Xenopus tropicalis: one gene and its partners. The protein of the gene in region 6 interacts with the protein of the main gene of each other region in a pairwise test. Links are inferred from orthologs where the notes say so. Each region holds a gene or a part of one and is shown on either strand. Other genes may lie near its edges. The genes, in order: shfl, cchcr1, card9, fam161a, mrpl53, ssx2ip and top3b.

What was found.
Region 1: the proteins of ssx2ip (region 6) and shfl interact in binary tests that used the Homo sapiens proteins (3 or more experiments, as listed by UniProt). The two-hybrid records come from large-scale screens. The link is inferred for Xenopus tropicalis from reciprocal best matches to the Homo sapiens genes SSX2IP and SHFL.
Region 2: the proteins of ssx2ip (region 6) and cchcr1 interact in binary tests that used the Homo sapiens proteins (3 or more experiments, as listed by UniProt). The link is inferred for Xenopus tropicalis from reciprocal best matches to the Homo sapiens genes SSX2IP and CCHCR1.
Region 3: the proteins of ssx2ip (region 6) and card9 interact in binary tests that used the Homo sapiens proteins (3 or more experiments, as listed by UniProt). The two-hybrid records come from large-scale screens. The link is inferred for Xenopus tropicalis from reciprocal best matches to the Homo sapiens genes SSX2IP and CARD9.
Region 4: the proteins of ssx2ip (region 6) and fam161a interact in binary tests that used the Homo sapiens proteins (3 or more experiments, as listed by UniProt). The two-hybrid records come from large-scale screens. The link is inferred for Xenopus tropicalis from reciprocal best matches to the Homo sapiens genes SSX2IP and FAM161A.
Region 5: the proteins of ssx2ip (region 6) and mrpl53 interact in binary tests that used the Homo sapiens proteins (3 or more experiments, as listed by UniProt). The two-hybrid records come from large-scale screens. The link is inferred for Xenopus tropicalis from reciprocal best matches to the Homo sapiens genes SSX2IP and MRPL53.
Region 7: the proteins of ssx2ip (region 6) and top3b interact in binary tests that used the Homo sapiens proteins (3 or more experiments, as listed by UniProt). The two-hybrid records come from large-scale screens. The link is inferred for Xenopus tropicalis from reciprocal best matches to the Homo sapiens genes SSX2IP and TOP3B.

What each region holds. Positions count from the first base shown.
Region 1 is NC_030679.2:136,804,603-136,806,899, reverse strand, and holds the end of shfl (shiftless antiviral inhibitor of ribosomal frameshifting protein homolog), read left to right. Parts: intron 1-43; coding exon 44-192; intron 193-519; coding exon 520-740; 3' UTR 741-1,797; downstream 1,798-2,297. Other genes in the region: angptl6 (angiopoietin-related protein 6), read right to left, coding at 2,226-2,297.
Region 2 is NC_030684.2:75,143,476-75,147,614, reverse strand, and holds the start of cchcr1 (coiled-coil alpha-helical rod protein 1), read right to left. Parts: upstream 2,801-4,139; 5' UTR 2,420-2,800; intron 1-2,419. Other genes in the region: tcf19 (transcription factor 19), read left to right, coding at 3,488-3,770. UniProt on the Homo sapiens protein: May be a regulator of keratinocyte proliferation or differentiation.
Region 3 is NC_030684.2:6,411,995-6,416,205, reverse strand, and holds the start of card9 (caspase recruitment domain-containing protein 9), read left to right. Parts: upstream 1-1,411; 5' UTR 1,412-1,589; intron 1,590-1,781; exon of another isoform or gene 1,782-1,965; intron 1,966-2,863; 5' UTR 2,864-3,097; intron 3,098-4,211. UniProt on the Homo sapiens protein: Adapter protein that plays a key role in innate immune response against fungi by forming signaling complexes downstream of C-type lectin receptors.
Region 4 is NC_030681.2:33,455,500-33,459,454, reverse strand, and holds the start of fam161a (protein FAM161A), read right to left. Parts: upstream 2,801-3,955; 5' UTR 2,770-2,800; coding exon 2,605-2,769; intron 1-2,604. UniProt on the Homo sapiens protein: Involved in ciliogenesis.
Region 5 is NC_030682.2:123,899,100-123,903,045, reverse strand, and holds the start of mrpl53 (39S ribosomal protein L53, mitochondrial), read right to left. Parts: upstream 2,801-3,946; 5' UTR 2,731-2,800; coding exon 2,636-2,730; intron 1,587-2,635; coding exon 1,474-1,586; intron 1-1,473.
Region 6 is NC_030680.2:77,508,229-77,510,697, forward strand, and holds part of ssx2ip (afadin- and alpha-actinin-binding protein), read left to right. Parts: intron 1-1,481; coding exon 1,482-1,596; intron 1,597-1,698; coding exon 1,699-1,837; intron 1,838-2,193; coding exon 2,194-2,248; 3' UTR 2,249-2,469. UniProt on the Homo sapiens protein: Belongs to an adhesion system, which plays a role in the organization of homotypic, interneuronal and heterotypic cell-cell adherens junctions (AJs).
Region 7 is NC_030677.2:153,942,775-153,946,792, reverse strand, and holds the start of top3b (DNA topoisomerase 3-beta-1), read right to left. Parts: upstream 2,801-4,018; 5' UTR 2,651-2,800; intron 1,067-2,650; 5' UTR 1,022-1,066; coding exon 952-1,021; intron 617-951; coding exon 485-616; intron 1-484. UniProt on the Homo sapiens protein: Releases the supercoiling and torsional tension of DNA introduced during the DNA replication and transcription by transiently cleaving and rejoining one strand of the DNA duplex.

The DNA of each region.
Region 1 (2,297 bases), on a different chromosome or scaffold from region 6:
AGACTTATGCTACTTCTCTAATTTCTGTCTGTCTTTTCCCTAGGGGTTTCGGGCAGATAGAAGTCAGCAGTCCGTGTTATGTGTGTAGAAACCCTGTGCTGCCCAGCTGTATCCTCCCACCTCGCCGGAACCAAGGCCCTCGAACCCGCAATACTCACAGCTGTTTAGCCGAAAATTGTTACAACCGAAGAGGTGAGTAGGATTCCACAGGGGGAGGAAGGAGAGATATTGCAAGGGGTGGGCTCTATTTACCAAGCACGTCCTTCTAAGCTGGCCATACACAGTCTGACAGTAGATGCCAATATGGCCAGTGTTTATAGGTCCAACTCATAAGCCCGCCAACGGTTCACCACATCAGGCTGTTGATGCAGTTTTACCCCAAAGGACCATTTGGGATCCCATTGGCTTGGGAATGAATGACTGGATCAGCCCACTTTAGCTTATGGCCATATCGGCCACTCATTTGGTGAATCTTTACAGCCATAGCCAACTCTGATCTCTTTAATGCCCTCCTTGCAGTACCCTTCGTTGCTGGCCTGCAGTGCGCCCATCCAAAAAGCCGAATCATGAACCAGCTCCCCAAAGTGCTGCACCCCAGTGAGCCCCACATCAGTACAGGCTCCACCATAGCAACCTGCCTGAGCCAAGGGAGTCTGACCGAAAACGATATTGATGACATCATACTGGACGATATCAAGGAGGAGGAAGAGGATGAGGGAAGTGATGACAGTGATGGCTAAGGACACGTGTTTATTAGGTACCCGCTGGCCGAGCGTAAGTGGAGAGTGGCTTGGCCAGACCGAGACCAAAGCCCAACACTGTCAGAGCCTCTCCATATAACCTGTAGGCCACTGGCTTGCTTCTGTTTAATACTTATCTCTCTCCTGGCTGCAGATTAGAACATACTCATTTCTATTTCAGTTCCTGTAATTTCAGTTTATCAGTGTACCTAGTGCAGACGAAAGCTGAGTCACATTGGCTTAGCCAGCAGAAGTGTAGGGACTACGTTCCCATAGTGCCTTAATCTTTTTCACAAGTAACCAGAACTGGTCCATACAACTCACACTTCATATATCCTTCACCAGCAGGACTTCATACTCGTCTTAAAGCTTCATTTGCTCCATATATTTATCAATATAATCTTTTACTTTAAAGCCTTATCCTGCTCCACAAAGTCCTCTTGGCTCTCCATGTAAGCCTTCCCTATAGACCTTGTTGCTGCAGATATTTCCTATCTATAACCCCTCCCTATAACTCCTCCTATTGCTCCATATAACCCTTCCCTATAACTCCTCATATTGCTCCATATAACTCCTCCCTATAACTCCTCCTATTGCTCCATATAACCCCTCCCTATACCTCCTCCTATTGCTCCATATAACCCCTCCCTATAACTCCTCCTATTGCTCCAATTAACTCCTCCTATTGTTCCATATAACTCCTCCCTATCACTCTTCCTATTGCTCCATGTAACTCCTCCTATTGTTCCATATAACCCCTCCTTATTACACTTCTGGTCAAACTCCTCCTACTTCTCAAAATGACACTTGATTTAGGTGCCTGTAGCAGAAGCCAGAGTTAGACATGAATGTAGCACTTATTGCTTTTAGCAGATTTGCGTCTGCATCTTTTGCTGCAAAAAAAGCATTGGCACTTAAGCCCCCTATAAGGGTCACTTTCCATTTCAGTTTCTCTTTTTTGAAGATGTATATATTTGAAAAAAAAAATTGTTCTTGCTATCTTAACGTGTTTTTCTGAAATGCAAAGATTTTTCAGAATAAAAAAAAAAAAAAATAAGACTCGAAAACTCGATTGACCTTTATCTGAAACCATGAAAAGAGATAAAAGATTCATATATGGAAAATGATGATACATGGGATTTACAGTGTATATAAACTCTTTATTATACATACATGGCAATGACCATTATAAGATGATCCTGAGCAATGGATCAGTGCTAGGGTTACCCCCACCCTCTTATTAAAACCTCACACATATACTGTATCTACATCGCACTTGCCCAATTAACACTGCTGCAGCCTGCACTGGTTTTTGCATCAGATCAATAGCCATTGAAAACAGATGTTAAAGGGGGTATGTGTGTGTGTGAGAGAGCAGAGATGTCAAGTGATCCCATATCATTGGGGGTAATAGAGATCCGCTTTTTTGAGGCCTTATTTCATGCCATAGGGTTACTTGATGTCTGTGCAGGGTGAGTCTAGTCATTATACATTTGGTTTGATCATCATGGACACCTTCTTAAGAGAGTAGGCACCACCGCGAAATTCAGCCCAATA
Region 2 (4,139 bases), on a different chromosome or scaffold from region 6:
AAGACTAGTAGGCCACCATCAAGCAACCATATGTAAAAAAATGACTTTGTAAGTAAATAAAAGGAGACAAATTTTGAATGTATTAACTAAAGACGGCCATACATGGCAAGATCTGCTTGTTTGGGAAGGTCTTCAATTTTCAGCCAGATTTCTGTCAGGTAGGCCCGACGGTTGGCCCCATTTGTATAGCAATAAGTTGCCGACTCGGTGCAGAGGGACCAAGTCTGTTGGCTTTACTTATGTTAGTCTTTGTAGGCTGGTCTAATTTTTCTTATCATAAAGGATCCAGAAAAAAAAAATAATTGTGACAGCACAAATGTGATCTATCCTGCAACCTAGAGTGGAAGTGGACACGGTGGTGCTAAAAAGATTTTTCTTTAGGGCTTTTAGAAAAAAAGAAACTATTTTTCAGAATATACTGAAAATATTTTGCCTTCAATGTTTTACATATTTAATTAAATGACATGAAGTATAACTTTAAAGAACAAATAAAACTAAATTCACCAGGGGTGAATTCACTGTTCCAGTGAATCCAGTTGCTACGTTTTTCCCTCGGATTGCTAGACTTATACCTGCACATGCAGGGTCGGACTGGGCTGCCAGGACACTGGAAAAATACTTGGTGGGCCCCAGCGGCCCAGACTCGATCCTGTTTCTGCTTCCCCTGCCCACCGATGTCCTCCCCTGATGCATTGTACATACGCTTAATCAGGGGATGACGTCAGGTGGGGGAGGGTTAGGGGTGTGCGGCGGGGGCCCCTGCAGGGGATGTGGCCGGCGGAGGTACCTTGGGGGGTGCAGGGCCCCTGGGCAGTAGCCCCTGCACCCCCCAGTATGACCCTATGCATATGCAAAATCAACTAACATTCTTCCTATTCTAATAAATTACAAATGCCCAAATATAGATCTGCGAGAGGGGAGCTTGGGAAGTAAAATGGCACTGCAGTACAGTACTCCATTAGAAATTACTTTTTTTTTTTTTTTCCTTCATAGGAGTGCAGGCTCGGGGAGTATTTATTAACATCAGAGACAAACATTACCAGCAGGGTCGGACTGGGACTGGGACACCAGGAAAAATCCGGCGCTCCCCCTACTGACTGTACCTCCCCTGACGCGTTCAATTTATACATGCTCAGGGAGGATGTCAGGTGGGGGCCCTGCAGGGGGGTTAGGGGACGCGACTGGCTGGGGCACCTGCAGGAGCCCCAGTGGGCACTGCACCCACCAGTCCAACCCTGATCACCAGTGATATTGCCCATAGCAACCGGATGACATTGATGCACTGATGACATCTGTATCAAATGTTAATAACTACACCCATAGGTGACTGAATTCACTGGGAGGTGCACCCTAGGTGAAATTAGCTTTCCTTGTCCTTAAAGGTCACCTTTATATATTTAAAAATTGTTAAATTTGTGTTTTTATCATTTTGTTGCTTAAAGCAGAAGAAAGGGAAAATCACTGGGAGTGCCAGGGGGCACCCACCAGTGACTGTAATGGCTTACTTTTTATCCCAGGCTGGTGCTCCTGTTAGGAGAAAAGCATACCAGCCCGGGGTAGCTGTGAGCCAGCCATTCTCGTTCTTTTCTTGCTGCTTGCGCACAAGCAGTAGAGTAAAAAGCTGAACTAACAAAAAATCCAGCTTTTTCACTCTGCTGCGTATGCGTGGCACTCCCAGTGATTTTTAGCTTTTCTTCTCCTTTAATTTACCTATTACAGGTATGGGATCCCGTATCCAGAAACCTTTTACCCAGAAAGTTCTGAATTACAGCAAGCCCATCTCCAATAGACTCTATTAAAAGCAAATAATTCTAAAAAATTATTTTCTTTTTCTCAGTAATGAAAATAGTACCTTGTACTTGATCCCAACTAAGATAAAATTAAGCCTTATTGGAGGCAAAACAAGCCTATTGGGTTTATTCAATGCTTAAATTATTTTTAGCAGATTTAAGTTATGGAGATCCAAATTACAGAAAGATCCCTTATCCGGAAAACCCCAGGTCCTGAGCATACTGAATAACCGGTCCCATACCTGTATTATGTTATAGGATGGCCTATCCTTAGAAACTTTTTAACCAGTCTTTCAATTTTTTGGATTATGTACAATTCTCTTCTGCCGCTTTTCAGCTTTAATACAGAGTTTTGGTTGCGGGGCTTAGTGTGCCCTATTTTAAATGATTTCACTTCTATTCAGGTACTTTTCTTTTATATTGCACTCTCTCATTCAATCAACTGCTGGTGGCTAGTGTAAACAGGTGCCTAGTAACCATATTGCTGCCGACATTTCAAACTGGACAGCTGCTAAATACAAAACTTACAAATAAAAAGACCTGCATATTTTCTCAGAATTTTCCACTCTAAAACATAAGTTCATGTAAAAAATCTTGGCGTCACTGGCAAACATTTGTGTTTTGCTTACCTGCTACTACTGAGTGAATATAGGCTTGAAGTCTCTATTTCCCAACAGATCTTAATAACAATCTCGCCACTCAAGAGCATACATCTATGGATAGCATGGTAATAACAACCCGACCCATGACTGTGATGGAACTATAATACATTCCTCTGTACGCTTTCCCTTCTGCGATCAACAAATTTCGCGGCTTTAAGCCCGGGAACCAATCCCCTATCCTACTGCAGCCGTATAACTAACACCATTCCAAACAGAACTACAACAAATCCTTCCTCCTGGCAACCTTCTTTTACCCACTCACTGTTCGTATTTGTTTGTTTCCAATAAAGTTAAGCAAGATATATTTGCGTAGCTGCTATCCAATCATAAGCACAGAGGAAACTAAGCCGCCAATCATAGAAGACACGAAGTCTCTTTCGCGAGAGTTTGGCTGGTAAAAAAAAACAGGCGCGGAGAGCTCTTAACCAATCAGTATAAAGTGAGTAAAACTGTTGTCGGCTAGGTACAGTGTTTTTTTGCCAGACAGTTCGTTTGTAGGCGTGGTTACAAGGAGGTGGGTGTCAACCTATGGGCGATAACGCGCCAAATTTCAAAGGCGCGCTTCCTTCCTCTGATTTCCCGCCGTGGTCCCGGTCAGAGTTGGGCTCAGCTGGTAGCGGCGGCTCGGTGGGAACCGTGACGTCACGCACTCAGTCTCCCCCGCTATATTGCGACTCCCATGGGAAGTAATTGCTAGGGGGAGATTTGTGCATGAAGAGTACATCTACTGTAATAGTGTGGGATGCAAACTATATTGAGGTCTGCAGTGTTAGGTTAGGCAGCCTTAGTCGGTCTAGTTTCTGTTCTGTACAAGGGCATTGTGTTGCTGATAGAATTAGGTGAGATGGTTCTTCTGTGCGAGGTTTAGGGCTGCTATTAAGTATTAGTGTGCTGCACTGCGACAAAGAGCTCCACCTAAACTTATAAATAAAATCTATATATTTAGACTAGCAGGGACAGTATTTCATTGTGGGTAAGGGACTCCATTAAGGTAGTGGGAAAAAGGTGGGTTGGTCAGAAAATTGGCAGGCTGCCATGGTAGGGTCAGAAGTTGTGCTTACACAGGTACAGCCCTGTTTCCAGCTTTTGCGCATGGGCTCAAGCCCAGGACAGTCAAGCATAAATGCAAATAGCACAGCGTCCAGAGATTTGTATACTTTCCTGCCAGACTCGCCATGCTGCATCTACCGACTGGGAGCCCAGCATGATTTATGTGATGTCCCCCTCCCTGGAAAACCTGCTGTCCATGCAAAAATACATGCAGAGCGGGAGCTCTCAGGAGACTGGAAGGTTAACTTGGAAAGCTGCACTCACTTTGGTAAGTTTGTAGCCAAATAGTTCAGGATATGTAGAGATTTCATCACTCTTATCTGGTGAACAACTATTTCTTAGGTATGCCCAGGCTCTCTTTGTTTTGGGCTCATTGTACTCCACCTATCGCCCTTTATGTTTGTTATCCCAAGCCAATGCTCACACACCCTACTTAGCTGTGTTGGTAACCCTGTGAAACATACAGCGCTGCTCACAAGCCCACAGAGTGCTCTCATTCTCAAAGCTTTTATTTCCCCTGCCATAACTGTAAAGCTGGCCATACACGCACCGATAATATCGCACGGAACCTTGGTGCATGTATGGCAACTCGGCAAGGTGACCAATATGGCAGAAGGCTGCAGATATTGGTCGACTC
Region 3 (4,211 bases), on a different chromosome or scaffold from region 6:
TGTATGGTGCATAGCCTGTGTTTGCCTCTCCCCCATGTACCGCCTGCACCTTGCCTCTCCCCCATGTACCGCCTGCACCTTGCCTCTCCCCCATGTACCGCCTGCACCTTGCCTCTCCCCCATGTACCGCCTGCACCTTGCCTCTCCCCCATGTACCGCCTGCACCTTGCCTCTCCCCCATGTACCGCCTGCACCTTGCCTCTCCCCCATGTACCGCCTGCACCTTGCCTCTCCCCCATGTACCGCCTGCACCTTGCCTCTCCCCCATGTACCGCCTGCACCTTGCCTCTCCCCCATGTACCGCCTGCACCTTGCCTCTCCCCCATGTACCGCCTGCACCTTGCCTCTCCCCCATGTACCGCCTGCACCTTGCCTCTCCCCCATGTACCGCCTGCACCTTGCCTCTCCCCCATGTACCGCCTGCACCTTGCCTCTCCCCCATGTACCGCCTGCACCTTGCCTCTCCCCCATGTACCGCCTGCACCTTGCCTCTCCCCCATGTACCGCCTGCACCTTGCCTCTCCCCCATGTACCGCCTGCACCTTGCCTCTCCCCCATGTACCGCCTGCACCTTGCCTCTCCCCCATGTACCGCCTGCACCTTGCCTCTCCCCCATGTACCGCCTGCACCTTGCCTCTCCCCCATGTACCGCCTGCACCTTGCCTCTCCCCCATGTACCGCCTGCACCTTGCCTCTCCCCCATGTACCGCCTGCACCTTGCCTCTCCCCCATGTACCGCCTGCACCTTGCCTCTCCCCCATGTACCGCCTGCACCCTGCCTCTCCCCCATGTACCGCCTGCACCTTGCCTCTCCCCCATGTACCGCCTGCACCTTGCCTCTCCCCCATGTACCGCCTGCACCTTGCCTCTCCCCCATGTACCGCCTGCACCTTGCCTCTCCCCCATGTACCGCCTGCACCTTGCCTCTCCCCCATGTACCGCCTGCACCTTGCCTCTCCCCCATGTACCGCCTGCACCTTGCCTCTCCCCCATGTACAGCCATCTTGGAACGACACTTCCCATATGGAGATCAGATGGGATGCCCAGCTTTGCCATGTTTGGGAGTAGCTCGCTGTGGGTATAGGGTGCCAGGGGTGAGACAGTGGCGCATACTGGAGATGGTGCCCCAGGGGAGTCATTTAGTGCGAGGAGGGGAGAGATAAAATCATAGAGAGGAAAGCTTGAATGGATAGACATGGCGGGTGTGATTGGGCCATATACATGGTTGCCCAGATAGCCCAATGGCCTGTGTGAGGGGACAGGGGGGCACATCTGTCCATCCATACACCCCCAAAATAAGTCACTGACAGCAGAACTGGGGCAATCGAAACTGACACCCAAGGCAAATACCTTTTGCCCCCCCCTTCCCCTTTAATCCACTTTTATCCCAATTTTCACTCTCGGAAGACTCCTCCGACCCCCCCCTCTCTTCTCTCCCGGCCTCCAACGCCGACTCCCCAATCCCAGCGGAACGGCCGAGCCACATGCAGCCACCGGAAGCCACGAGCCAATCAGTTCCGAGCACGTGGAATTCCCAGTGACGATCTCAGGCAACCGACATGTCCCAACGGGTCCGGTATCTGCCACAGGTTGGTGACGACCCCCCCCCACCTTTGTTTAGCAGATCCAGGTGTTCTGTGTAAAGGCCAAACCCATTTCCTCTTGGAATTATGGGAAGGTAAAACCTTCAGGATCCTGATTGGAGGGTCCTGTATGCACATATAGAAACCGTAGCCGCTGGGGGAGGAGCTAAATAGTAAGGGGGAGTAGCCAATAACATTGGGGGGGGCTGTATCCGTGTGGGTTGATTTTGGGAGCAGGTTGGCCGAGTGTGTGCGAGGTCAGCTGACCTCTAATGGGTGCAATTAAGCCAATTAGTGAGCACTGTAGGCATCCGCCGGTCTCTATTAATTGCCCCACCCGGCCGTGCGTTCTTGATGAATAAGTCCTTCCCCCGTGGGTAAGGTAAGTCGCTAATTGCCCTCGTTACTTACAATTAAATGAATAATTACAATTAAAGGGAAAGTACACCTTCTTTAGCCACGTGAGTGGTGTAATGTGTCCGGATGCCGAGGCTGAATGCCAATCAGGGTGGAATGTGGGCTGTGTGGCATATTTGCTCTCCTCCGAATTCTGATAGGGTGACTTGCCATACCTGGGAAAGGGGGGGGAGCTGGGCAAATGCTGCTCGTAAAGGGGCGGTTTACCTTCAAGGTAATTTGTGTATGTTATAGAATGGCCATTTCTAAGCAACTTTTCAACTGGTCTTCATTATTTATTTCCTATAGTTTAAATATTTGCCTTCTTCTACCAACTCTTTGGGGGTCACTGACCCCGGCAGCCGGAAACAATTGCTCTGTGAGGCTCCAGTTTTATTGTTATTGTTACTTTTTATTCCTTATCTTTCTATTCAGCCCCTCCCCTATTCATATACCAGTCTCTCATTCAAACCACACCCTGGTTGCTAAGGTAATTGGAGCCCCAGCAACAGGGTCACTGACCCCGGCAGCCAAAACCTATTGCTCTGTGAGGCTCCAGTTTTATTGTTATTGTTACTTTTTATTCCTTATCTTTCTATTCAGTCCCTCTCCTATTCATATACCAATCTCTCATCCAAACCACTCCCTGGTTGCTAACATAACTTGGACCCTAGCAACCAAATAGCTGCTGAAACTCCAAACTGGAGAGCTGCTGAGCAAAGTGAAATAACTAAGAAACTACAAATAACAAAAAACGAAGACCAATTGCAAGTTTTCTCAGAATAGCACTCTCTGCATCACTAGAATATTGCACTGTTTATTGCCCGGTGGCTCATTGGTCATTAACGTTCCTAACCTCACTGCCTCTCCATGTGACTCCCCAGCAGCAGCAGCCGTGCAGCCAGTAATGGGAAGTGATCTCTGCAGACTGTGAAGCTGCACTGTGGTATGCGACTGTGTGCAGACCAGGAAGTCATTTCTACACAGCCGCCTTCGCCCCTCCCAAACCCCCGTGCTCTACACCTCTCCTTCTCTCCTTGCCATTCCTGCTCTCTGACATGGGACGGAGTAAGACGCTTGGCTGAAAGCTCCCAGACGGACCAACTGTTCTAGAAGAGGTGAGCTTACCCTTTATTGTAACCCCCTCTCCCAGGCCCCAGAGAGTTAATCTGATCTCTCTTTCTTATCGAAATATATATAACTTTGCCTTTAATTCAGTGTAACTACTGCGGCTATTTAGAAACTTATGCTCTGTGTGTATTTAGCACTTACCCTATCTAACCCATTCTATAGCACTGGTCCAGTCTGCAGGGAGGCAGAATTGTGTACAGAACCATGTACAGAATTGAATTTTGTAGCTGGACCATGTACAGAATTGAATTTTGTAGCTGGAACCATGTACAGGATATAATTTTGTAGCTGAAACCATGTACAGGATATCATTTTGGAGCTGGACCATGTACAGAATTGAATTTTGTAGCTGGAACATGTACAGAATTGAATTTTGTAGCTGGACCATGTACAGAATTGAATATTGTAGCTGGAACCATGTACAGAATTGAATTTTGTAGCTGGAACCATGTACAGAATTGAATTTTGTAGCTGGAACCATGTACAGAATTGAATTTTGTAGCTGGACCATGTACAGAATTGAATTTTGTAGCTGGACCACGTACAGAATTGAATTTTGTAGCTGGACCATGTACAGAATTGAATTTTGTAGATGGAACCATGTACAGGATTGAATTTTGTAGCTGGAAACATGTACAGGATATTATTTTGCAGATGGAACCATATACAGAATTGAATATTGTAGCTGGACCATGTACAGAATTGAATTTTGTAGCTGGAACCATGTACAGAATTGAATTTTGTAGCTGGAACCATGTACAGAATTGAATTTTGTAGCTGGACCATGTACAGAATTGAATTTTGTAGCTGGACCACGTACAGAATTGAATTTTGTAGCTGGACCATGTACAGAATTGAATTTTGTAGCTGGACCCTGTACAGAATTGAATTTTGTAGCTGGACCATGTACAGAATTGAATTTTGTAGCTGGACCATGTACAGAATTGAATTTTGTAGCTGGAACCATGTACAGAATTGAATATTGTAGCTGGACCATGTACAGAATTGAATTTTGTTCCTGGAACCATGTACAGAATTGAATTTTGTAGATGGAACCATGTACAGGATTGAAGTTTGTAGATGGAACCATGTACAGAATTG
Region 4 (3,955 bases), on a different chromosome or scaffold from region 6:
CACAGCATACACCATAATAAGCTTACACTGCTAACAGATATAGCCTGTAATCTCTTGTGGGCAGGGCCTGTTGCATCTCTTGTTTCAGTCTCCCATTATCTCTGTTTATTAGTCATTTCCTTGCACATCACTGGTTAATTTGAGATATATATTTATATATATATATAAACTGTATAAAGAAAAAAAATTTATAATATAGGAAAATTTAACAGAGCATCATAAGCTTATATCTACATATAACAGAAATATAATAAATGAATGGGCAGGGATTAAAGGACAACACAGACAAATTCACCGTGGAGATGCCAATTTGTTACCAGCCTCACGGACTCCTGTGGGTGCTACTCATCTTTGAAAAATGTTTTTATTAAAGCACAGAGCTGCCATCTTTTGCTTCTATTTTCCCATTTATTGCATTCACGTGCATTGATTTAGATGCAAGTAAGTGTGTTCTTGTAAGTTCAACAGTCATTTCTTCATTCTATTACATTCTGAACGTGCGTCAAATGCACAAATATAGTAAGTAATTTTAAAACCACTGAAAACCTTTCATTAACATATTTGCTTAAAATTACATTTTCTTTTATTGTACAAAAATACTAGTTGCAGGGATCCACTATTTTCGGATTCATCCAAACCCCGAACCCTTCGTAAAAGATTTGTCCAAATACCGAACCAAATCCAAATTTGCATATGTAAATTAGGACACGGAAGGGTTAACGAGTGCAGCAAAAAATGTTCAACTTCCGTATTTATGTGACAAAAAGTGTTTTTAAGGATTCAGATTTGGTTTGGCCAGGAGCGTGGATTCAGCTGAATATGAATCCTGCTGAAAAAGGCTGAATCTTGGCCAAATCCTAAACCGAATCCTGGATTTGGTGCATCCGTAACTAGTTGTCAATGTTTTACTTGTGTTAAGTGTGACATGAATGTAAGTTTTGGGACAGGTCCATACTCTCCCCCACTCCCTGTACGCTTTCCTTCTCCAGATATAATGACTATGAGATCTCTTTTCAGCCCTGCAGATTTTATAGACATTGAGACAACACCATCACGGGTTTGCCAGTGCTCTGCTTAATTCAGTAAATTGCTTCCCAGCTAATGCTCTATAGTCACTAAAAATAACTACCAATCTAATCCTCTTTTAAACGGGATCCCCTACATTGTAGCTTATACTGTTCAGCTTTTCACCATTATTAGCATGTAAATGTAACTGATGTGCCAAATAGCACTCTGTATAATTAGCACTGGCATCACATGATCCCATCTGTTAATTAACCGGTGCCGAATAGGCTTATAAAATAAACACCAGATGACAGGCTAGAGATAATTCCCAGAGCATGCTGCCCTTCCATGCCCAGGCTAACTAAGTAATACAGCGATGTCAAACCTGCGGCCCTCCAGCGATTGTTTAACTACATCTCCCATCAGCAGGGTCAGCAGCCTCTGTTACTTTTTTGTAAACATTATCCCAATGAGTAGCACCCCCCAAGTGGAGTCGGAGTCAGAAGCAACTACTGAGTAGCTGAAGGATTTATGTAAAGACTCCATAGACTGGCCAGGGCTGTGGAGTCAGATTTGTAGAGTCAGAAGCAAATTTGGGTACCTGGAGTCTGAAGTACCATAAACTGAGGAGTCACTGGATATATGTACCAACTCCAAAGCCCTGCCCTATAATTGCACCTTAGGCACATGCCCCTTCTGCCTACCCCTAGTTCTGGGCTTACCTACCATTCTTCAACATATAACAAAGGAGTTGTGGGGCCAGCAACACTTGGGAACCCAAAGGTTCTGTTCCAAACAGAGTTCTAATGTTTGCCGCCTGTGCCCAACTCATATGCCTACTGTCTATAAGTTACAGCAGAACAAACCAGGCTGTAAACCCCAAAATACCATGTTTGCCTAATAAAAAACGTAAATCTACGAAACTTTCCAACAGAAATTCATAAACATTTTTCAATGGTCTTAAAGAGATACTGACACCAGAAAGTAAATCTTTTTTTTTACATCTATAATAACATTGTCTTTGCAAGAACTTTAGAATTTTGCCATAAAAATATTTGCCTGATGCGTTTACATTACCTGTCTGATCCTCGGTTCCTCTAAGTGGGGGCAGCCATATTTGTCTGTTAGCATTAGAAGCTGTAACTGACAGGCTGGGAAGGGACAGTCAGGTTGGCAAAACAGTCAGGTGTAGGAACTTCAAGTAACAATTACTTACAAAAGCAAACCTGTCAGCGAGACACCATCAACATGACCTATAGGTAACTTTTTATGTATATTCATATTTTAAAGTGAACTGTAAATGTAATTGCCATTTAGATCTGTCTAATGAAGCACTGTAGCAGCAGCCACTTGCCTGTTCCTAGCCCTGTCTGTGAATCAGCTGCCCTCTGCTACATTGTTTCACTAGTTACAACCAGCAGTTTGACAGATGAAGCTATCAAAAGAAGTTCTACTTACAAATAACTTTAACACAATGGGACATTTGTAATAAATATATTTGTATATATAAGTTTAGCTCAGAGATAAATTGTTAAGAAGTTTGCTATCTTTAGGTTTCTATGAGCTTTAATATTCCAGCTGTAAGAATAGTATCCATACCATTGATGTTCTTGGAAGTCTCTGGGGTGAGACAGAGGCAGTTCGTTGTTGTTGCCTTTCCCCCAACTCCCGTTCGTACAGGGCAAGCGGTGCTTTGGTGTAGGGGTTCACAGGGGTCCTCACACAGGCGGCAGCGAGCACTGATTCCTTGTGAGCCTGCGCCATATTGGCACGGAACCTTCAGCTTTGGCCGCTGCCTGGCAACCGCCGACGCTACGGAGTCTGCGAGAGACCAACCTCTAAAGCGATCACAAACTGAAGCCACGCCACATGGCATGAGAGAAAGGAGACAATAACCTAGAGCGCGCTGTTTTCAGAGCAGCAACTGGCGCAGGCTTCCAGAGTTTTGCATCCAGCTTTAGTTTATCTGCCGCAGAATGAGACTAATGATGGTGGAAATGCGAGTGCTTAGGGTACTCCCAAAGGCAGAGCATAACCAGCTCCAAACTTCAGCCCACACATATACATTTGGCGACATCTAAAGCGCCGGCTGCCAACACAATACTCTAGCTCCGCTTTCCTATAGGGCGCTCTAGCGATAGTGCCCACCCTGCGCTCTGATTGGCTGAGGCGAGAGCACTACAGCCCCCTCCGCACGGATTTGGAAGAGAGCGGATAATAATCCCGGTAGGGGCGGAATAATGCACAAAGTGCAGTTATTAGTTTATTTGCCTTCAGATAGCTTTTCATATGCCCGTGGTTTTTAATTTGTGTGCCCAAGAGCCAGAGAAGGGGTGGGTAAGGCTCATAAGGGTGACCATAGGAGGTGCCTACTTACTTACAAAGGCTCATTGTTGAATTTAGGGTGATCTCTTCTTTTTTTACGCTAGACCTTCCTGGCATTAAGGTTAAACTATTAAAGTTGTAATACATTTCAAAGCATTGTGGGAACTGTAATCTTACTGAATAGCATCCTTTATTTTCTGTAAATTACTTTTTGGGTGCTTGATCATAATTTAGGAGCATTATAAATAGCACTTGACTATACTCCTATGGCATGTGTGTACCTTTCATGTATATTTATGTTATTTTACACAAACAAATTAAGGTTACACATACCTTAAAGGAGACATATCTTATAAAAATAATGAATGTACCAGTGAATTATACTCCTCTAGACATAGAAGGAATGTGCTTTAAAAAGTTGTATTTCAGACTGATTTATTGAGAAATTCCCCCAAACCCCACTAGCCCCGCCCATCTGTTCCACTTCCTGCTGGCTGAATTCTTTGGATGTGCAGGGGGTGCCAGCGGCCCTCCATAAACTGCACTGTAGGATAGGAACCAATCAGCAGCTAGGCTGACCTGATAGGGAACTGAAGCCTGTCTGTGCTTGTGTGAGTGCAGGGCT
Region 5 (3,946 bases), on a different chromosome or scaffold from region 6:
GTTGGACTATTTACAACTGTATATGCAACATATTTTGTTTAAAGGACAAATAAACCCCAATTCACAGGGGATGCCAATTTAATTCATAACCTGGAACCCCAGGATGGCGATTCTTGGATCTTCCAGCAAATGCACAGTATAGGAATAGTTTTCACTTTATTATACAGCTCCACCTACTGGATACTTAAATAATAAATAAATCATACCAAAGCAACCTATAAGCATTTAAGAAAGTACTTGCCCCTTTTCTTCCACAATGCAGCTGTACATAGTTGTAGGTACAGAACAGCTATACGATGAAAGAGAAAGCCTTATGTGCCTTGTAACCATCCTGATGTTCCTTTAGCTTAGCATGGTGGCAGTATATTGAATATGTATAAAAAAGCACCTGTCACTGTGCCCAGCAGAGACTGAGAGTCGGACTCAGCATACCTGTGCCATCGGGGAGAGGGTGGAATATACTGAAGTCAGGGAAGACAGGAAGGCATACAGCTGCTCTCCCCATAAATGCAAACAATAGGTGAATAATTAAATACGTAATGGGGTTGTCCACCTTTGAATTAACTTTTAGTATGATGTAGAGAGTAACAATTTGCAGCTGGTCTTCATTTTTATTGTAATTTTTTTTTTTAAAGGTAAGTTTTTGTTCAGCAGCTCTCCAGCTTGGAGTTTTAGCAGCTATTTGGTTGCTAGGCTTTAAATTACCTTAGCAACCAGGATGTGGTTTGAATGAAAGACTGATATGTGAATAGGAGTGGACCTGAATAGAAAAATAAGAAATATAAAGTAACAATAACAATTAAATTGTAGCCTCACAGAGCAACATTTTTTTGACTCAGGGGTCAGTAACCCCCTTTTGAAAGTTCCAAAGAATTAGAAGAAGAAGGTGAATAATTCAAAAACTATGAAGAACAAATAATGAAGACTTGAAAAGCTGCTTAGCACTGGGCTTTCTATAACATACTAAAAGTTAACTAAAAGGTGAACCTACCCTTTAAAAACAATATAAAAACTAAATAATGCAGGCCAACTGCAAAATTTCTAGGAATAGGCCATTCTATAACATACTATAACAAAGGTAAACTATCCTTTAATATGCTTAGCAAGATCCACCAGGCAAAGTAAAATAAAAAAATAAAAAAAAGTTGGAACAATTTGTTTGTCACATATGTGACACCACATATCACTGTGCAACCCATCACAATCTGACTGCAACCTTTAATAGACTGTAGTTATTTATAGTTGGTTTCACAGTATTTTGGCACCTCTTGGTGAAACAGCTAACACAGAGGAAGGATGAAGTAGATCATATAATTAAATATCACAACCTACATTGTTAAGACATTGTGTGTACACATTGCTAACAAAACTCTATTGGTCATCCCTGGCGCAATACACAAAAGAGATGACCAATCAGTCTTTTATTGTTAAGTATGTATATTTGTTTTGCTGTTAATATAATATGAGACTCACCAAACAGAATATCCACGTGGGGTTCACTCCGATCATGCCTCACATCTACAGCAATGTCACAGTTTGCGTTGGAAGAGCGGATTTTTTTGGAGTTTATAATATCCAAAAATTCTCTGGAAAAAGAAAAGATTCAAAATTCAAATAATTATTAGCAATAATAATAAGTATTATAATAAAATGGCTACTCCTGGAACAAGCATAATATCCAAGTCTATCATGATCTTAACATCTATTGGTATAAGTATTGGTATATGTAGTTTATATATCTGAGTGCACATAAAGGTCTGTATGTATATAAGATAGATATGTATATAAGACAGATATATGCAATGGCGGTCATTTAGAGGGGTTGAGCAGTAACTCTGGTCTAAAAATGTTCACTGGGCCCCTACACTGTGCGGAAAACCGCTTTCTGAAAATACCGTCCTACGCAGTATTTTCGGCAACCGTTTTTCCGCTTGCCGAAAATATATGCCCTACGCCTCATCTGGCATTAGCCTTAGAGAAGCTTACGTATAAACTCCACTGACCTCCCAATTAAAATGCCGACGTATTACCACATTATTTTTACTATGTTTATTAACCACTAATGACTAGTTATTGGGCCCCACAGCAATATCATTGGGCACCTAAACTTAAAAAACATATGAATTTCCATATCAAGCAATGACAACACAGAGCAGGGGCAGGTAGGTAGGAAGGGGTTAAACTTTAATGACCCCAAAACTCTGAATGACATTAGCACATCAATGGAACAGCAGTTCATATTGCACACACAAGGGGCATGGGCAAAACGGTGATACCGCACACTTGTGTTCATGGGGGGCCCCATATGGAGCCAATGGATGTAGTTATAATATAGTGGTTTAATATGGTGGAACATAGTGCAGCAGGGTGCAGGAAAGCAGTTTTACATAAGGTGCTGACCCTAGTACTGCCCTAGACTGGAATGACTGGGATTAGGAAGGTACCACCTACAACGAGGGTGGGGGGGGTGCAAACAAAATAGCTGGTACACAAGAGTGACACAAGTGCCCCATGTGTTTGTATGACCTTAGGCACTTAATGAGGAGAATGTGCTGTATATGTACATAATACTAGTTCCCCATATAGAGCCGAGTGACTGAGCGCAGTGTTGCTGCTCCTGTGGGGCACTACTTACCTAACGTGCCGGACATTGGGCTCAAAGGGACAGAATCGCACAGCGATGGACTTCACTGACTTTAGCAGCAGCTCCGAAGCACCGACAGCAGCCATCATCCCGCACACATGCAGCCAATGAGAGCGAGAATCTCCCTCTCCCACAATGCAATTCGCAAATAACTCTCCGCCCCCCGCCCCGCCAAAGCTTCCTGGGATATGTAGTTCTTTAAGCGGGGATAAAAGATGTGACGTGAGAGGAAGGTACGTACGTGTACATGTAATTTCTTAATAAGCAATAAAGCCATACCAGGTGCTGAGTGGTGCAAATAGAAGCACTGGCAATTTCACCAACTCTTGTTCACACAGGCGATCCTCCTTATGTTGCAGGTTGCATCCAGTTGCGCTTAATTCTACTGTATGTATGTATGTATATCTTTATTTATAAAGCGCTACTTATGTACATGAATACAAACGGGGTTATTTAGATCAGTGTTTTTCAACCTTTTTTGGGCAAAGGCACACTTGTTTCATGAAAAAAATCACGAGGCACACCACCATTAGAAAATGTTAAAAAATTTAACTCTGTGCCCAGCAGCAGTGCCCCCCTAGTACATTGGTGCCAAGAGCAGTGCCCCCCTAGTACATTGGTGCCCAGCAGCAGTGCCCCCCTAGTACATTGGTGCCCAGCAGCAGTGCCCCCCTAGTACATTGGTGCCAAGAGCAGTGCCCCCCTAGTACATTGGTGCCAAGAGCAGTGCCCCCCTAGTACATTGGTGCCAAGAGCAGTGCCCCCCTAGTACATTGGTGCCAAGAGCAGTGCCCCCCTAATACATTGGTGCCCAGCAGCATTTTACTTCTGCTCTTCGGCAGCTTCTCCGGTGGCTTCAGCAGCATCTTCGTATCCCTCAGGTGCGCCGCCTCTGCACTTCTGCCTACACGCGACCGCACACAGGCCCTTTTATAACGTTGCGCCCCGTGCGTACTGACATCACCCGTACACACGGGGCGCAACCAATGACAGGGCCCGGATTTTATTAAAGGGCCCCCTTTGAAAGTAAAAATTGCGGCCCTGCCTACGGCACACCAGTCAACAGGGGTTGAAAAACGCTGATTTAGATAGTAATAGATAAATACAAAGTATAACAATAAACACAAATAAATAAAAGATACAGTTGCAATAACTTAAGAGCCAAAGACACAATAGGATGGAGGTCCCTGCCCCTAATGCAACTTTATACCTTAGGACATATCTGATTTTGCGTCTGATAATGGTGGTCGCAGCTACACTGGAGTTCTGGGTAGGGAGATTTTATTGTGAGTAAAAATCATG
Region 6 (2,469 bases):
TAATCCCACTTGTTCTCATAGCAGAAAAAATTAAATTTTTATGTTAAATGGTATAAAAATACAATCAGTTACGTGTCTACAACTGATATAATTTCAGTGTTCAGTTTAAAAAGATCACAGTATTCATAGTAACGCCATGTATATTCAAGTTTCCACCATTATCTGTCATGTAATTTTACTGCTGGGTACTTACCAAATGCGCTAAGCAGTATCGCATGTCATGCTTTGTAAAATTTCAGTGTGGTTAATCTTCTGTAATAGCTCCTTTTTAATGCCAAATGTTGAGCAACAACAGTTTAATATCCTCATTCCATCACAATGGCTTACACTATCTGCAGTTTTGGACACCAGTACATAGGAAGGATATTGATGAGCAAGAAATGGTGCACATGTTCAAATACGCTGATATTTAAAATGAATAGAACAATTGCACTGAAAAATAACTACCAAATATGTGTGGGTTTTTTTGTGTTTTTCACTAAACTAGCACGAATAGTTGCACTTCTCAGGAGGTGTTAAGTCGGCCACACACAAACCAAATATCATCAATACAGTGGCATAAAGGTTGCTTCTACTGATCTGAGGAGCAGTATAAAGCCATTTTCTTAAGTCTGATGAATTACACTTTAGCATCTGCCAATCTGAATGACTAGTCTGAGGCAGGTAGTGTACTCTTGGTATCTACTAAGTGATCAGTGCCCCACCTCACTAATGCTCTTGTGGATCAATGGAAGCAAATCACTTTATTTTTCCAGAAGAGTAGAAACCCTTTAGCAGCAAAGGGAATAACAGCTTCATAGCAATACCCTTGGTTTCTGAATAAAATATAGAAGCAACAGATGTCCTGATATTTTTGTTAATATAGTGTATTTGTCAGTGTCTGTGTTTTTTGAGGATGATTTAAAGATTTCATGAATGCTGCATTTCTTTAAAGATTCTGCAGAATACAGGTTACAATTATAAAAATGATTTGTCCTATTAATTAATTTGCCGTACATGTAAAAGCATAGCTTAAATCTAATCAAAACAGTATGTAAAATCATTCAACATAATGAGGTGATTGAGACTGAACAAGCATCAAATCATCAAATCTTCTTAGCTATTAATAGAATCTGCCATCACAGCAGCACCTGGCAATGGAGGGCAGTGGATGGCAGCTTTTGTTTGGGGGGTTACTTTTCTTTTAAGGAGGCCGCCAACACACTATGTGCTGTTACAGAATGTACCATTTCTGCTCAGAAGCTTGTTCTGAAATTCGCCTTTCTGTTTCAATATGTAAGCTTGTATCAATATATACTGTATTGCTAGTTTCTGTCCTCTGTGTAGTACTTTTTGTTTTACTATCTCAGTTTCTAGAAAAAGAGAGAAATACAACCTTAGCATATTTAGCTAAGGTTTAAACTAATAAAAATGTTTGTGACCTTACAAAATGACATTTTGGTAACCGATGTACATATTTTCTGTTATTGCTTGTCTTATAGAAAAAGGCCTTTGAAGAAGACAGAGCAGCTTGGTTAAAGCACCAGTTCCTGAACATGACACTGTTTTCCGACCACAAGAATTTGGAAGAAAGGAAAGCACATGGAGTTCACTTCAGTGAGTTTTAGTGCTCATACCAAAAAAACAGTTTTCTGGGATTTTTTTAATGTTATTTATATTTATCATAACTAATCGTTCTTCAAATTTTCATTTGATTAGGTCCTGAGCAAGACCATTGCAGACTGCATAGCCATCCTCATGATAGATACCTTGTATCGTCAGGAGACCATTCCAGACACCCAAGGAAAACACTGCCCATTACACCTTCTTCAAAGCACAGTCTGACTCAAAGAGAAAGGTATTATAACATGGCTTGCTATACCCATGTCTCCTTGATTTAATTTGATGAACTACCTTGTGTTGACTACCAGCATCTTTTTTGTGATGGCTTCACACCATAGTTTCAGTAGTCTTATAATCTTGGGGGTTTGTAACTCTTGTTTCAGAATGATATATGTGTAAGGATGTTTTAGGTTGTTTTAATATTGAGTGCAATATAAGAAATTTAGATAGAATATTATGAATATGTAGGCATTTCAAAAGGCTAACCGTAACGACAATTTGCATTTGCTAAAGAACATAGATGAAGGCTAATAAGTGTTGCTGAATGAGGTTCAGTGTTTTAATGTATTTTATTTTATTTATTTTTTTTAGCATTGCATGGAGAGATTCGAGCATTAGTCCAAATGGCAGTGACTTTGCAAATTAATTCCAGCTCCAGGCCGGGTCTGCATGTCTGGGAGAAGAAATCTTAAGCACTTGCACAGACAGGCTTATGTCTTGGTTATTCTTAGCTTTGTTTGCTGTAAAATACCAAAGCATTTCCCATTTAGCAACTCTATCTGATGATCTTCTACTAAATTAGCAGCAGTTTATATGGCTTTATATAGCATTACAGGATTTACCGAATTAGCACACAAAATGGGGACA
Region 7 (4,018 bases), on a different chromosome or scaffold from region 6:
CATTAGGGTTTATACATTTTCCTTTTTCACTGATTTGGTATAAGCTTACTGATATACATAGCACACTTTTAAATGCAATTCATTTAGAATGAGCCAAAAGATGGTGAACAGACTATACTGCCTAGAATAATTTTCTGAAGCACTTTAGAATGACCAAAACTAGAAAGAATAGGATCCCCATAGTGGAGGATATATGTATTATATAGAAGTCACAAATAAAAAAAGTTATATCATAATATAAAGCTTAACTTTTAAATCAACTTTCAAAGACCTTTATGAAATTGCTGCACTTTGATAGGCCCTACAATTAAGTTAACTGCACTTATAGTCCATATATTTTATGAAAAGGCTGAAAGAAGTTACTCAAGTGAATGCTAAAAGGCAGAGCCTTTTAAGGATATAATTAAACTGCTAACGCGTGCATTTAGAAGTCTTATATAATATACAAAATGGCAACAGAGATGAAAGAAAATATTCACACTACCTATAAAGTCCAAGCTCATAACGTGACCACAGACAGATGTCATCTTGAAGCGCACAGTCTGTCCCATGAATGATCCTGTGTATTCATGAACAGAGCACGCACCATTCAGTCCTTTACGAGAGGAGGCACTCCCTGTAATGTATTATAGAAGATTTTATGAGTGACAGTTATTTACCAAGGGTTCTACATATGCACATATGCTGAACACTATTACAAACAAAAATAATATCCCCTTAACTATCATTTACAGACCTGGTAAATGTCCTGCAGGTCACTGCAGGGGAACACAGGAAGAAATTCATTTCATTCTTTCTAATAAGGCTGTACTAACAAAGGCACATGTAATAACCTAACGCAGGTGCAACAAAACGCTTCCTTTCGATTTTTTTTTTTTGCTTTCCAATTATGCAACAACACATCCTGCAACCCTTGCAATTGTGCTATGAAATACATGTTCTGACACTTACCTCTAGAAAGAATCTTTGCGATTGACTGTGCCAATGAAGGCTTCTCTGCAACCATGAGTACTGTCTTCATTATTCACTTATTAAGGCACACGTGTCCAGTGAGAATAGGATGGTCCTTGTAAATAAGAGTAGTAATAGTAAAGTTTCAATGTATATATTGTATACTCTCCCTATTCAATATCCCAATATCTAAGGACTGGTATTACAGTTTGCTTATGATCATTTAGTGTTGCTTATATTGCTTAAAAACACCAGTAAGCAAAAGAGCAGATTTATCAAAATGTGAGATTAGACAGAAAAACTTTCTATTAATTCCTATGGAAGTTTTAGAAATGTATTTATTAAATAGCAAATTCTAAATTTCACCCATTGATAAATACAATTCTACAAATCCCACAGGAATGAATGTAAAGCAGGTGATTTTTTTTCCTGTGGTGAGCTCTTATCTCACATTTTGATAAATCTGAACCTTAGTTAACTGCAAACAGACATAAGGTATTTGTTACCCCTTCTGTGGATACAAATCACCTGGTGGCCTTGCCTAATAAACTGCAGTCGTCACCAGGTGAGACTTTGTCAGGATATATATCCGATTAATGTACCATTGTACATTAAAAACAGGTGCCATTATTATTGCCCTGTTCACAGGCTAAGAAGTTGTTATTCAGTCAGGGATGGCAGTTCTTACTGGCCTGTGCAACAGCTTTAGAGAGAGCTTCAGCACATTGCTGATATAAACCAATGTAGAAGAAATCACGTTTCTCTTCACCTTTAGGGTAAGAACCCACAGAGTGGTTCAGTCACCCGCGATAGATCTCTGCTATTGCGGGTGACTAACCACTCCTAAATGGCTTTCCACCGGCAATAATAGGAGTTGCTGGTGGAAAGCCCTTTGCATTGCTTTGTTTATCGAAGTTGCCTGCAGGGGGGAAACTTTGTGCAACTTCTGATTACCAAAGTGATGCAAAAGGTCTTTCCACCGGCGACAGGCCATTTCTGAGTGGTTAGTCACCCGCAATAGCAGAGATCTATTGTAGCCAACTAAACCACTCTGTGGGTTCTTACCCTTTAGGGTTTTTTCTAGAAATTGCATGTTTATCAGTTGATATCGTGCCCAATCAGGTGTGCCTTAAGGGTGAAGACACACGGAGCTACTAGTAGCAGCTACTTGCCACGGCTACTATAATAGACAATGATAATCCTTTGCTGATAATTGTCTCTACGTGTGTTTTAGCAGAGGCAATTCTCAGAATTGTCTATGTCTATTCTGGGGTTTAGTAGCTGTGACTAGTAGCTGCTACTAAGTAGCTCTGTTTCTTCGCCCCTGCACTGGGAACTGTGTTTTGCATTTAGAAAATACACACAGGCATAGAAATCACAAGGTGGAACTATAATACTATTAAGTACAAACATTTGCTCATTGTATAGAGTAGAGTCATGCAGGGCCAAATTAAAGTTTTCTACCATGGTACAACTGCAAATCCCATCTTATTAAAGCTTCTGTTTATATAACATTGTTACATAATAAGTGATTATCCTTAAATACATTTTTTTATTTAGTCATTTATAGCTTATGAACATTTTAGCAATGCAAGGAATACATTTTGGTTACGTGTAAGAGAAAGGGAACAAAGATAGCGAGGTTGAGAAGAGGGGAGTTGAGCTTTAATATGTATAAAGGGGACCTTTTTCCTTATACCTCCCAACTGCTCAGTCACGAATTTTATAACACAGCGCGCACTCCCGGATCGCTGTTTAAATGTCCCGCATCCCCGTTTATATGACCAGGTCCTAGGCTCCAGCCGGCCCGCTCACGAAAGGTAACTGCTAGGCTCCTAGTTGCTAATGGCCGCGAGTGACGTCACAAAACGTGAAGACGCGGTGACGTCTCCAATACGTACATTCGGCGCCTTCTTCAAATGGCCGTATAAACAAGTTTATAGGTGAGTGCGGCCCTCAGTGGTTACTCTGGGATGCCTTGGAGAGAAACGGCTCGGTAAAGGCAGTGTCACAGTGCTTTACTGAGAGAGTATTGGGTTGCGCAGTATAGCATAATTTTTTTTCTTAGGACAGGAGTAAATGTAGGAGTTTATTCAGTTCTTGCCTGAATACTGGGACACTTGCTGTTTAGTGAAAGCTGTGGATCTTTTACGCCCTTGCTGGTCTCTATAAGGCAGTGATCCCCAACCAGTGGCTCAGGGGCAACATGTTGCTCCCCAACCCCTTGGATGTTGGTCTCAGTGCCCCCAAACCAGGGAGTTATTTTTGAATTCCTGACTTGAGGGCAAGTTTAGGTTGAATAAAACAAGATTTCCTACCAAATAAAGCCCCTGTAAGCTGATAGTGTGCATAGAGGCCCCTAATAGCCAATCACAGCCCTTATTTGGCACCTCCATGAACTTTTATGGTGCTTGTGTTGCTCCTCAAGTCTTTTACATTTGACTGTGGCTCACAAGTAAGAAAGGTTGGGGATCCCTGCTGTAAGGTGTGTGCCCTTAATATTAGGGGGTTATTGGAGCCTGCTTATACGTGGAGTGCTTGTATTTTTCTGTTTGGGTAAATGTGCTGATAAGTTCTGGGGTGCGTACTTTTTTTTTTTTTTGAAGGGTGGTTGTTGAATTTTTGGTTGGATTGGGTTGACGTGCGGCAAAAATTTGAGCTATAGGGAAGAATTTTGGAGTGTGCTGATGTTTTTGGTGTGTTAGATAATTTGGGGGGATGTTTTTTTGTGGGGGGGTAGGATTTTGTGTGCTTAGAATTTCTGTTGTGCTTTTTTTTTTTTTTTTTTTTAACCAGAATTTTGAGAGGAGATTGGGTTAGTCCTACTGGGGGGGCATAAGTATTTAGATGTCCCAATGTGGGGGTACAGTGTGTGGGCAGATTAGGAGAGCTGTGCTAGGTTTGTCTGTATGTCTGTAGGGGGGTATTTGACTCTAGAGCAGTGTGTTGGGGAAACTAGACCCATCTATCAAATCTGAATGGGTTGTGGCAGCAGGTGAGGTCTATAGTTATGGATGTTTGGAGGTGTGGGAGTAAGGCATTATTTATGTTTCTTAGGTATTGTATG